Linked DNA regions of Rattus norvegicus. The protein of the gene in region 2 interacts with the protein of the main gene of each other region in a pairwise test. Links are inferred from orthologs where the notes say so. Each region holds a gene or a part of one and is shown on either strand. Other genes may lie near its edges.

What was found.
Region 1: the proteins of Nutm1 (region 2) and Sh2d4a interact in binary tests that used the Homo sapiens proteins (3 or more experiments, as listed by UniProt). The two-hybrid records come from large-scale screens. The link is inferred for Rattus norvegicus from reciprocal best matches to the Homo sapiens genes NUTM1 and SH2D4A.
Region 3: the proteins of Nutm1 (region 2) and Ric8a interact in binary tests that used the Homo sapiens proteins (3 or more experiments, as listed by UniProt). The link is inferred for Rattus norvegicus from reciprocal best matches to the Homo sapiens genes NUTM1 and RIC8A.

What each region holds. Positions count from the first base shown.
Region 1 is NC_086034.1:26,173,436-26,177,182, forward strand, and holds the start of Sh2d4a (SH2 domain-containing protein 4A), read right to left. Parts: upstream 2,540-3,747; 5' UTR 2,498-2,539; intron 2,311-2,497; exon of another isoform or gene 2,220-2,310; intron 1-2,219. UniProt on the Homo sapiens protein: Inhibits estrogen-induced cell proliferation by competing with PLCG for binding to ESR1, blocking the effect of estrogen on PLCG and repressing estrogen-induced proliferation. May play a role in T-cell development and function.
Region 2 is NC_086021.1:119,516,275-119,520,021, forward strand, and holds the start of Nutm1 (NUT family member 1), read right to left. Parts: upstream 2,436-3,747; 5' UTR 2,326-2,435; coding exon 2,310-2,325; intron 1-2,309. UniProt on the Homo sapiens protein: Plays a role in the regulation of proliferation. Regulates TERT expression by modulating SP1 binding to TERT promoter binding sites.
Region 3 is NC_086019.1:205,367,720-205,371,466, forward strand, and holds the end of Ric8a (synembryn-A), read left to right. Parts: intron 1-696; coding exon 697-792; intron 793-889; coding exon 890-1,034; intron 1,035-1,112; coding exon 1,113-1,257; intron 1,258-2,057; coding exon 2,058-2,177; intron 2,178-2,544; coding exon 2,545-2,665; 3' UTR 2,666-3,383; downstream 3,384-3,747.

The DNA.
Region 1 (3,747 bases), on a different chromosome or scaffold from region 2:
TGAGTCCAGAATCAGGAAGTGATTGGTGCCACTTTGAAATTTTCCGGACAAAGATCAGAAAATGTCCTTGGGAAGAGAACTTTAAAACTGGAGATACCTCAGCTAGTGCGGAAGCCTACGGTAATCAAGTGTAGATAAGCTTAGAGAGGCCACAGAAGAAAATACACCATCCAGGAAGGAGCACAGAGTTGCTACCCGCATTGGTCCAGTGGTGACTTTGTCTTCCTCTTACTCTCCACTTGCCTTGTTCCACCAACATTCCCTTCCCTGGTACTCCAGTAAAGAGGTGCGCAACTCTCTTCTTTGTTCTGCTTTGCTTCGGGTAGCTTGTGTAACATAGACTTCAAGCATCAAGGTTGGTTGGCATGTTTTGTTTTGTGGTCTGAGGATTAAACCTGACCCTTGCACATGCCAAGCAAATTCTCCGCTGCTGAGCTGCACCCCCAGCCCCCTTTACTTTATGTTTTGAGATGGAGTCTAAATTGTCCAGGCCAGTTTTTAATATAACCTAGCCTAAACAGGCTTTTGACTTTCCACACTGGCTGTCTTTATTTCTCAAATAATTGGGATTATATAGACCCTAACCACCAGGGCCAGTTTAATCCCTTTTGAAGAAAATACCGTGGTTCCTGGTGGCCTCAGGGAATACAAAAGAAACCCAGCTAACAAGTGCCTGTGGCTGTTGACTATGGGCACCGAACTGGACTGCTGATTGGCTCTGAGTGATGTCAGTTAACCAGCTCTCCAAGGCTTTCCTAGAGCAGACCACAGCACAGCTACAGACAGGTTCACCAGCTTAGATTCCCGGTTCTGCCTCCAGTGACCCATGACTTTGGAAGGTCACTTCACATCTTTAGACCCTGTTTCTTAATCCATAAAACTAACCTGAGGATCATTGTAGCTCTTGGATCCTGAGATAAAATCTGCCTTGAAGCTATTGAGACAAGTACAGGAAATGAAAAGGAGGAAGTGAACCTGCCAGGGGTTTTCCTACTTTCACGTTACCGGACAATCACTGTTTGGTGATGTGTGGGTCTCATACTGAGTGCAGTCACTCGTGGTCCAACACAGAGTACAGCCCAGTTAACTTGTTTTTCCTCTCCTGTGGCATTTTTCTTGAAAAAGACAACTAGCAGGGAACAAGCCCATACCTGTCACTCACTCTAAAAATTTCTGAAGAGTCCAAAATTTAGTTAAGTTCTCAGGATACCTGTAGATCTTGTCTGACTTTCACACTTTCCACTTTTCCTCACAATTGTTTTTAATTAATACAGAGCCTAATAAATAATAACAATAATGATAATAATTAAACTCTGGGTACAACTACCTTCATTAAAATATTTCTGTATTTACAGTACATATATCCCTAAAGGTAAGAACTTAGTTTGCGTTCTCTGTTGTCAGGCTTTGAATTGCTCAATATTTTTCTTATTAATTTACATGATGATTTTGGAAACAAAATGAATTGCAAGTGGTGAGAGGAGCTGGAAGTTTTGTAAATACTCTCAAGATTGAAGTATTTCATAGATAGATATTCCTAGAAAAGCCTATTTGTGCTAAATCTTCGCCTAAGTATTTCTTCCACTTATTATTAAATAAGAAAAATTATAAATACATTGTTTCTTTACACAAGCAAGAGGCTGTCATCCCTGCTTCTCTGGGACCATAGCAAAGAGAGACATTGAGAAAACCTATAAACACTGAGTGCCTCCACCTAGGGCCCATGAACCCCTTAAGGCAGGAACGGTTGGTAATGGCTCACTTTTGTTGAGGAAAATTCTGGCTAGGCTGATTCTAGATTGAGCCTTGACCCAGAACCACAGAGAGACGACGAGCCCGCTGCTCTCTGTACCACGTGAGGGCGCCCGCGGGAGCGCGGGGAACTTACTAATGGAGTTCTGCTTGTGCTGAAACCGGTTTCAGGACTCTTGTCTGGAAGGTCTCCGGGCCAGGAGACCACATGGCACTGCCCAGTGATTGGACCTCCGCTGATTTGTGGGTACTGTAGCCGACACCCAGCACCCTCTTCGTGGCTCAGACCCTCGCAGGTGGCCCCCGCTGTGCACCTGCCCCAGGCCAGTTAGCACTCGCCGCGTGTGCATGCACAGCCCGGACGGGACAACTTTCCTGAAAGACTCCAAGTCGCCTCCGATTCTCCTCCCTCTGGAGACTCTTAGTATAATGATCACAAGCCCTCTGTTCTTGGGGCCGCCACTCACCTGGACCCGGCTGCAGACACTGGACACCCTACACGAGACATCGGACACCCGCAGCCGTTGTGGTCTGTTCCTCTGGGCACCTGAGCTCGCCCTGAGCGCCGTGGAGGAGGGACCGGAGGGACAGGTGAGCAGCCTGGCCGCGGGAACCAGGGTCTCTTCCTCTCCCTGTCCTCTGTGCTTCACCCTTCGCTCTAGAGACGCATCTCCTGGTTCCCACTCCTCGCTCACCCTTCTGCCTGGCTCTATGCTCCAGCGTTTTACCCGACCCGGTCACCTACCTGCTCAGGACCCGGGGCAAGGTGGTCCAAGCACCCGCCGCCACCTCCAGATTGCCTACAGCAACTCCAGGAAGAGAAGGGAGGACAAGCAGAGAGACCCAGCCGCGCAGAGACCCAGCCGCGCGGGCTGTCTGGACAAACACTCGGGCCCAGAAGGACACTCGGCGTCCAGATCACAGCCCTGGCCCGCCCCGCCGCGCCCACATGCTGGGGTGACTGACTGGGCGCTCCCTCAAGGCCCCTCCCGGGTGCTGGAGGCGCTCCAGGGCCAGTAGGCAAGGCTTGGCTGCCTTGGTCCAGTGACAGCAAGGCCACTAGTCCTTGGCTAATCTAGAGTGCTGTCTACAGTCTGGGGTAGTTTGCCCTGACACCTCAGGGGGGGTCTGTGGGACTTACTAATTACAATTGTCCACACTTGACTTGTTAGGTGGAGCCTGCAATGGCAGGCAGGCAGGGTCCATCTGGGAACCTGGGTCCTGCAGCCAAGTTGGCTGCAGTTCTGTGACTGCGTTTCTACAGCTTACTTTTTCCTTCTCTTTTGTTGACATTAAGTAAATTATCAAACTCTGAAGCATTTGTTACTCCAGGTGTGGCTTAAGGCATGTTCAAGGAAGAGAAAGACTGGAATGTTGCAGGCTCTAGGGAAAGGGGCAGCCAGGGAGAGAAACCTGAGGGGAAAAAAGGTAGAAGTTCCCTGTGATCAGGACCAGGGTGGCACAGGGCACTGCTGAAGCCTAAGCTTATCTGGGAGGGGAGAAAGCTGAACAGAGTGGAAAAGTGGAACAGCCTTTTCCACAGGCGAGGAACCTTGGGCATGTGTGGAAGAAAACAGGGCTGGGGGTGTGTATGAGTGGGGGTGGGGAGGGATGACACAGGAGTTCAGACTGGGGAGATTGGAGAGCACTGTTATAAACAAGAAACATGGTGTGACTTTATACACCCTATCCAATCGATTTAGGAGCCTGACGTGCTGAACCCAAACGTTGTTTACCGTAGGCTTTCGCAACCACAGAAAACTTTTTAAAATTAGACATTTTATTTATTTACATTTAAAATACTATCTTCCTTCCTGGTTTCCCCTCTGCAAATCCCCTATTGCATGCCCCCTTACCCTGCTTCTATGAAGGTGTTCCCCTACCCACCTACCCACCTACCCACTCCAGCCTCACCACCCTAGCATTCCTCTACACTGGGGCATTGAGCCTTCACAGGCTCCTATTGATGCCAGATAAGGCCCCTTCAGCTCCTTC
Region 2 (3,747 bases):
AGTCCCTAGGGGGTTAGAGCAATGACTCAACATGTGAAGGAAGGGACATGGATGGGTATATTTGCAATTGCCTCTCAAGTAGTCCTTTACCCCTGAGCTAGTAGGCTAGAGAAGTTGCTCCCTTTCAAAGAGACACCATCCCTGCCTGTAAGAGCGTCTCTCATAACACTCCCGAAGACCTTCCCTGCCAGTTCCATAGGCAGATCAAGAAGATGAGAAATAGGAAAAGCAGTCTGCAAGCATGCCGAGTGCAGGCGAAATTCCTGGCTCTTGAGAAGCACTCATGAGACCCCCGAGAAGGAGGTGGTTTCACAAACACTGGCCCATCCCTCTCCTCCTTTTCCTGTACCGCTTTCTCCTAATAATCTCCTCAAATAACAGAAGATGCAGTTTATGAACAGGCTCAATGACCCCAGGACTCATGAAGCTCATTTCTCCAAAAACAGTCCCACTCGAAATGCATGGATCTCTACTAACTCTACCTACTCCACAGGACAGGGAAGCCACCTGATCCCAACCGCTCTATGGCTCCTGTCACTAGCCACAGAAGCACAATTTCCAGGACAGAAAAAGGTCAGCCTAGATTCTTGGTTCCCCGAAATGTCACTGTGGAGAGACAGAAGAACCTTGGAGGGAGGGAGATTTCCAGTACTTTCAGTTTCAACCATGGATGAGTTGAAATTTGGCAGCACAGACTTTCTGTGGACCTGCTTCTTAATAGTAAAAGTTTAGGGATCACAAAGAAGCGCTGGGCTGGAGCTAAGGAAGAAAGAAACCTAGCTCCTGCTAGGGACCAGCTATGTGGACACTGGTCAGGCAGAGGGGGATGATAAGCACCCTTCATTAAAAAGGCCTGCCCGTGTCCCGCATGACTTTTAATGATAAAAACAGAGACAAACTGGCCTAATTTCATTCAATACTTCCTCCTTTTTTCTTAAAAAAAAAGAAAAAAAGTATGCCACTGACAAACCAGTACCACTCAGCTTCCACTTACTAACCATAAAGGAGATATGAAATAGAATCGGACTAATACCAGCAAGTTCTGAACACAGTGAAACTATTCCTAAGGTCTGAGCTCCACAATAGGTAGGAAAACCAAGCATCTCACTGTCTGTCGCTGAGATGGCCTATCTCCTCTATCTGAAAAGCAAGAAAGACTACCTCTAAACAAACAAAATAATTAATACAGTTACTTAAAAAAATAAATGCAGGGGGCTGGAGAGATGGCTCAGAGGTTAAGAGCACTGACTGCTCTTCCAGAGTTCCTGAGTTCAGTTCCCAGCAACCACATGGTGGCTCACAACCATCTGTAATGGGCATCCAATGCCTTCTTCTGGTGTGTCTGAAGACAGCGACAGTGTAGCCGCATACATGAAATTAAAAAATAAATCTTAAAAAAAAAACTTTCCTCTAAAAAAAATGCAGGTCTATAAATACAACCACTCTGGATGACGATCACAAGTTCAAAGTCAGCCTAGGTTACAGAGGGAGTCCAAAGGCAGACTGAGAAACTTAGCGAGACCTTGCCTCAAACTAAAAAGTAAAATGGATGCTGCAGATTTGGCTCACAGAATGCTGAGACAGAGAGAACACACGTGCTCAGAAACGGAAGTCTATGGAAGACCCTCTCCAGAACACTAATTAGATGGAAACTTAACCTAGACTTCCCAACTTCCAGACAGATGCATAATAAATTACAATGAAAGAAAAAACAAAGAGAAAAAAAGCCTGGTGCTTGAACTGACAAGTAGCACCCTTGGGGCTAGGAGGAGTCATCACGCTCTGGGAACAAAAACTTTTACAAAATTTCTAGCCCTGTTCACGGGCTCATAAATGAATAACCCCACTGAGTTTTAGCTTTCTGAGAAAGGCTAATTAATCGGCCTGGCCCAATCCCACTGCTCCACCCTTCCTGGAGTGATCAAGAGAGTTGGCCCTGCCTTCTTCCCATGGTGAAGTCCTAGAGCAGGTCAAAAGACACGGATTATGGCTCTTCCCTTGAAACCATGGCAACACCACTTATACTAAAACATAAACCTCTGTTTCCACCCCAAGCATGTTAAAGCGGTCCCTCTTCCTGGGAATCAAACTGGTAATTGGTTCCCAGTCCCAATATTCAGTGTGTACTTCTGACAGATTTTGGTTCATTTCCAAGGATGCTCTACCCCATTCTTGATGGTAAAGATCTATTTCTCTGGGCTCCCTAATGCCTGTGTGGGGTTTAATTCCTCAAATCCCTATAGGTTGACCTATGACTTGTCCCTAGGTGACACCGCAGATACCCCGCACTCCAGCACCCCTCGTCTTACATCCATCTGATGCCATAACCCAGGGTTTAGGTACACCAACAGTGGCGGTCTGGATGGCTCCAGGATGAAACAGTTGGGTCCAGGATCCAGGCAATGACCTAGCTCCAACAGATGATATCCAAGGAAGGTAAGCTAAAGACTGGGTCAAAACAGAATTAGAATCTTGGACTCAGGCATTCTGTAGTGGGGGAGGGGAAAGGATATTATGTAGTGAAAATGGGGAGATTTTACTCGATGGGTTTTAGTAAGTAAGCAAAAATTAGAAAATCCCTCAGTGAATTTGATAGCATGATTGCTGGGTGTCCTCTTTTAGGACAGTTTGTCCATCGTCTCTCAGATTCCCAGCATTACACTGCAGTTTTCACTGTTGGCTTCTTACTCTTCTATTCTTCAACGATACAATCTAATCCCGAGCCCTGCCCTTTCTCCAGTTCTGAAACTGGATTACCATTAATAACTGAATGGTGTGGACCTTCGGCTTGCTTCGCTGATGACTCTATTTTCTGAGCCAAATTCAGAGTGCACAGTTTGTATACTTGAAGATTAAAAACTATAAACTAAATGCTTGACATTGAAGTATCTCAGATGATCCAGAATGTTCAACTGCTGTGGGGTGAGCGCCACCTTCCTGAGAAGCCGACAGACACTTGTAATCCTAGGACTTGGGAAGTAAGAGTTTGAGAAAAGTCTGGGCTACAAAGTGGGACTCTCTGAAAAAAAAAATCTCTCTGTAATACCCAAACAGTCCAGCCACAAGAGTTCTGAAATCCATTGGAGCCACGGCCTTTTTTCCACTTGCTGAAAAAACTTACTACATTAAAAAAGATTTTAATTAATTGATTATTTTTGAGACAGGATCTCACTCTTCAGCCCTAGCTGGCTAGGAACTCAACAAAGATCTGGCCACCTCGACCTCCTCAGAACTGGTATTAAAGACCTTCACCTTTAAAAAAGAAAAATAAATAATCTTTAATAGTTTCTAAAGGGTTTATGTAGTTTTGTTTTATGTGTATGAATGTTTGCCTGAATTTATGACTGTGCAGCTGGGTTAATGCCTGGAACCTGCAGAAGCCAGAAGAGGGAGTCAGAGCTTCTAGAACTGGAGTTGGAACCAGTTAGGAGTTGCCATGTGGGTGCTGGCACCTAAAATGGGTCCTCTGCAAGAGAGTCAAGCATCCTTAAGCACTGAGCCACTTCTTCAATTCCTTTTGGATTTTTGAGACAGTCTGGCTATATAGCCTAGGCTGAAAGCTAAGACTCTCTGACCTTAGTCTCTTGCACAACCCCTGCCTTAAGATTACCATAAAGTTTTCTTGTTAAATTACTTTTTAAATTTTAAATTAATACATTAGCATGACTCAAAAGTCAGACTAAGAAAAGTTTTGAGGGGGGAGTCCAAAGAGGTTTAGAAAGGCAGATGGGAAGGTGAAAACAACTA
Region 3 (3,747 bases), on a different chromosome or scaffold from region 2:
CCAGTTTCTTGACTCCTATGGGTTTCCATGGGACATACAGAGAGCGGGTGGTCTAGCCTATCCTTGTGGAGCCCCCACAGCTGAAAGCCCTAGATTGAGATTCACTCCATCTGAGGAGCCATGTTGCTAAGCTTAGTGAGTTCGATCAGCTGCCTGCTCCTCTTGCTGCAGCTGCTGGCATTAGGCAGAGAAGGGATAGGTGCACTGTTTGCTGTCCGGGAGGCACTTTGAATAGGAAATCTGCTATTTGTTGTTTCCTGAGGGCAGGGTGTACCTCAGGTGTGCGGACAGCTTCAAATTCCGTTTGTTTTGTTCCTGGCCCTGGTTCATACTTGTAACAGTTGGTTTTGAAGAAGCAAGTTGTTGGCCCCCAAGTCACAAAGTTTCAGTCACTTCCAGAAGTAGGTCTGGTTTCCATCACTCTCTCTTCTTAGACCCCGTGCAGGCAAGGGTGAACTTGAACTTCTGATTTTTCCTGTCTCCCAAGTGCTGGAGTTACAGGCTGGTACCCCCATGACTGGCTTAATGTTTCCATACCTTCTTAAACTAATAAACGCCCAGCACTGTCTTTGGCCCTTAGCTAACTTTCTACAGCATGGCCTCTTTATAAGCGATTGTCAGAACCTCTGGTGAAGGGTGCAGTGTAGCCCCATCTCGCCTGGGGAGCATATGACAGTAACAGAAGCCCTTCTGCAGACCCACAGGCTGAAGGAGTGTGTGGCACCGGTGCTGAGCGTGTTGACAGAATGTGCCCGCATGCACCGTCCTGCCAGGAAGTTCCTGAAGGCCCAGGTACTTGAAAAATGAGACGGATCTGGGGGACCTGGGGATCCTTTATATAGGGCTCTGGCTGCTCCAAGCCAACACTTAGAGACAGCTGCCTCCCTAGGTCCTGCCCCCTCTGAGGGATGTGAGGACTCGGCCTGAGGTGGGGGACCTGCTCCGAAACAAGCTTGTCCGCCTCATGACACACCTGGATACAGATGTGAAGAGAGTAGCTGCTGAGTTCCTCTTTGTCTTATGCTCTGAGAGTGGTGAGTTGGGGGAGCCCAAGCCCCAGGCCTCCCCTGCCACAGCCATATTCACACATTGACCTCTGCCCTGGTCTTCAGTGCCCCGATTCATCAAGTACACAGGCTACGGGAATGCTGCTGGCCTCCTGGCTGCCAGGGGCCTCATGGCTGGGGGCCGGCCCGAGGGCCAGTACTCAGAGGATGAGGACACCGACACAGAGGAGTACAGGGAAGCTAAGGCCAGGTATGTGCTCCTAGTGTACACTTGGGTTCCCTCGTAACCCCCATCCCCCTATCTGCCCCTCCTCAACCACAGCCAGTAGTACGTAGGACAGGATAAGGAATGGATAAAAACTTGGGTTCTACTGAACTGAGAACAGGACCCCCGTTGAAGGAATCAGAGAAAGAACTGGAAAGCTTAAAGGGGCTCGAGACCCCATATGTACAACAATGCCAAGCAACCAGAGCTTCCAGGGACTAAGCCACTACCTAAAGACTATACATGGACTGACCCTGGACTCTGACCTCAGAGGTAGCAGTGAATATCCTAGTAAGAGCACCAGTGGAAGGGGAAGCCCTGGGTCCTGCTAAGACTGAACCCCCAGTGAACTAGATTGTTGGGGGGAGGGTGGCAATGGGGGGAGGATGGGGAGGGGAACACCCATAAAGTAGGGGAGGGGGGAGGAGGATGTTTGCCCGGAAACCGGGAAAGGGAATAACACTCGAAATGTATATAAGAAATACTCAATAAAAAAAAACAAAAAACAAAAAACAAAAAAAACTTGGGTTCTGATGACAAGTCATGTACTGAGGCCCAGTGAGTGAGCTCTCTGGGATCCAGTAGGTCTTGGGCAAGAGTTGTCTGCCTGGTGTTCAAGGGGGATCTCCCTTCTGAAGTCCCATCACCACCAAAACCAAAACCATGAAGGTGGGTTCTTGCTAACCCAGCCCTAGGCATGAAGATGGAGACTTGCTGCCCCACTGAGCACTGCTTTTCCTATAGCAGCACTAACCCATTTCTCATACACTGTTCCTGGGAATTAGCATCAACCCTGTGACTGGAAGGGTAGAGGAGAAGCCGCCTAATCCTATGGAAGGCATGACAGAGGAGCAGAAGGAACATGAGGCCATGAAGCTAGTGAACATGTTTGACAAGCTCTCCAGGTATGTTATGAGGAAGGCTTGTAGCTAGAAGACATGGGAATGATTCTGTTTTGTGAGCCCAAGGAGAATGGCTTAGAGATTCAGATCCTAGTGAGGCTGTATTGGGCATTTGAGATAACTTGCCCCAGAGGTAACCTTCTGGCAAAGAGAGAGGAGGGTACAGTCAGCATTGAGCCCTCTTTTTTAGAGGATGAAAATGAGGACAAGAATGTGAAGGACTGGCTAATGTCTCCAAGTTAATTAGGTGGTGGTTAGGATCCAGGCCTAGTTAATAGTTAACGCAGTCCAAGCAGCAGCCAAGAAATGAGCAAGAGCCCCTGCCCTGCACACTAGGTCCCTCCCCAACCACACTGTGTTTTCCCTGCAGGCACAGACTCATCCAACCCATGGGGATGAGTCCCAGGGGTCACCTCACTTCTCTGCAAGATGCGATGTGTGAAACTATGGAGGGACAGCTCTCCTCAGACCCCGACTCAGACCCCGACTGAAGATGGCAGCCACTTTGCTCCCCTTCAGAACTGGTGCTGTTTCCAGACATGCCTGGGGTGCTGCCTCGAGAAGCCACACCCCTCTCCAGCTGGGGAGCCGTTCTCTCTACTCCTCACATATCTGTCATCTGCCTTTGGTCCAGTTTCTTGTGTTTAGGACTGTGGTAGTCTTATCCTCTGTGAAGACAGGGAACCCACCTTTCATTTCCACAAGTGAAGTTGTTTCTTGGATGTGGCTGCAGCCATGGGCAGAGTTGCCTTGGCACATAAATGAGCGTGCATGTGTGAGGGCGGTAGCTGAGCAGGGTGCACACGGTGTAAGCATGGCTGGGCTGGTACCAGCCCAGAGCCCGTATGTGGGGCATATGCTGTGTTTCAAACATTCTAGAATCTGTTGAAATTGTTTAAGTATGTCAGAAAACACACCAAGCATCATGGTTTCTGCTTCTGGCCCCACTGAGCACAGGGTCAGTGGCCTCTTCTAAATTCTTGGTCCTGGCTCAGCCACCCACTGCAGTATCCACATACCCAAGCCTCACTGGTTGTGACCACTAAGTCAGTGACAACCACTGGTTTAGTAATTAGATGAAGGCAAAAGTTGTAAGACAAGGTAAAAATCTGAGATTTCTGAGGCACAGAATAAAGAGTTTGGGACAAGACTGTATATCTGTGAAGTAGCCGGGTGAAAGAATATTAAATAGAAACTGATTTCATTCTATTTAACATTCAAGATTTCCTAGACCACTACACATCTGCTTTCATTGAAGATCAAGGATAGAAGGCAAGACCCCAATCCCTGGAATCTTGCTGGGTCAGCTACATACTGTCAGCCGCAGTCAAAATGGGCTGTGACAGTAATGGGGTGCTTCTACCTGCAAACAGCCTAAACTTTCTGAGTAGGAGTCAGGGAGGAAGCAGCCTGTGCTTAGTCATAACCACATACAGGACGGGAAAACAGGAGCCCAGTGGGGTTTCCCAGAGTAATGCCTGCCGTTGGCTTTAGCATCGTTACTGGAAGAAGTCTGGGTGGAGTAGTGGGAAGTGCCTTAGAGAGGGGATTTAGCTCAGTGGTAGAGCGCTTG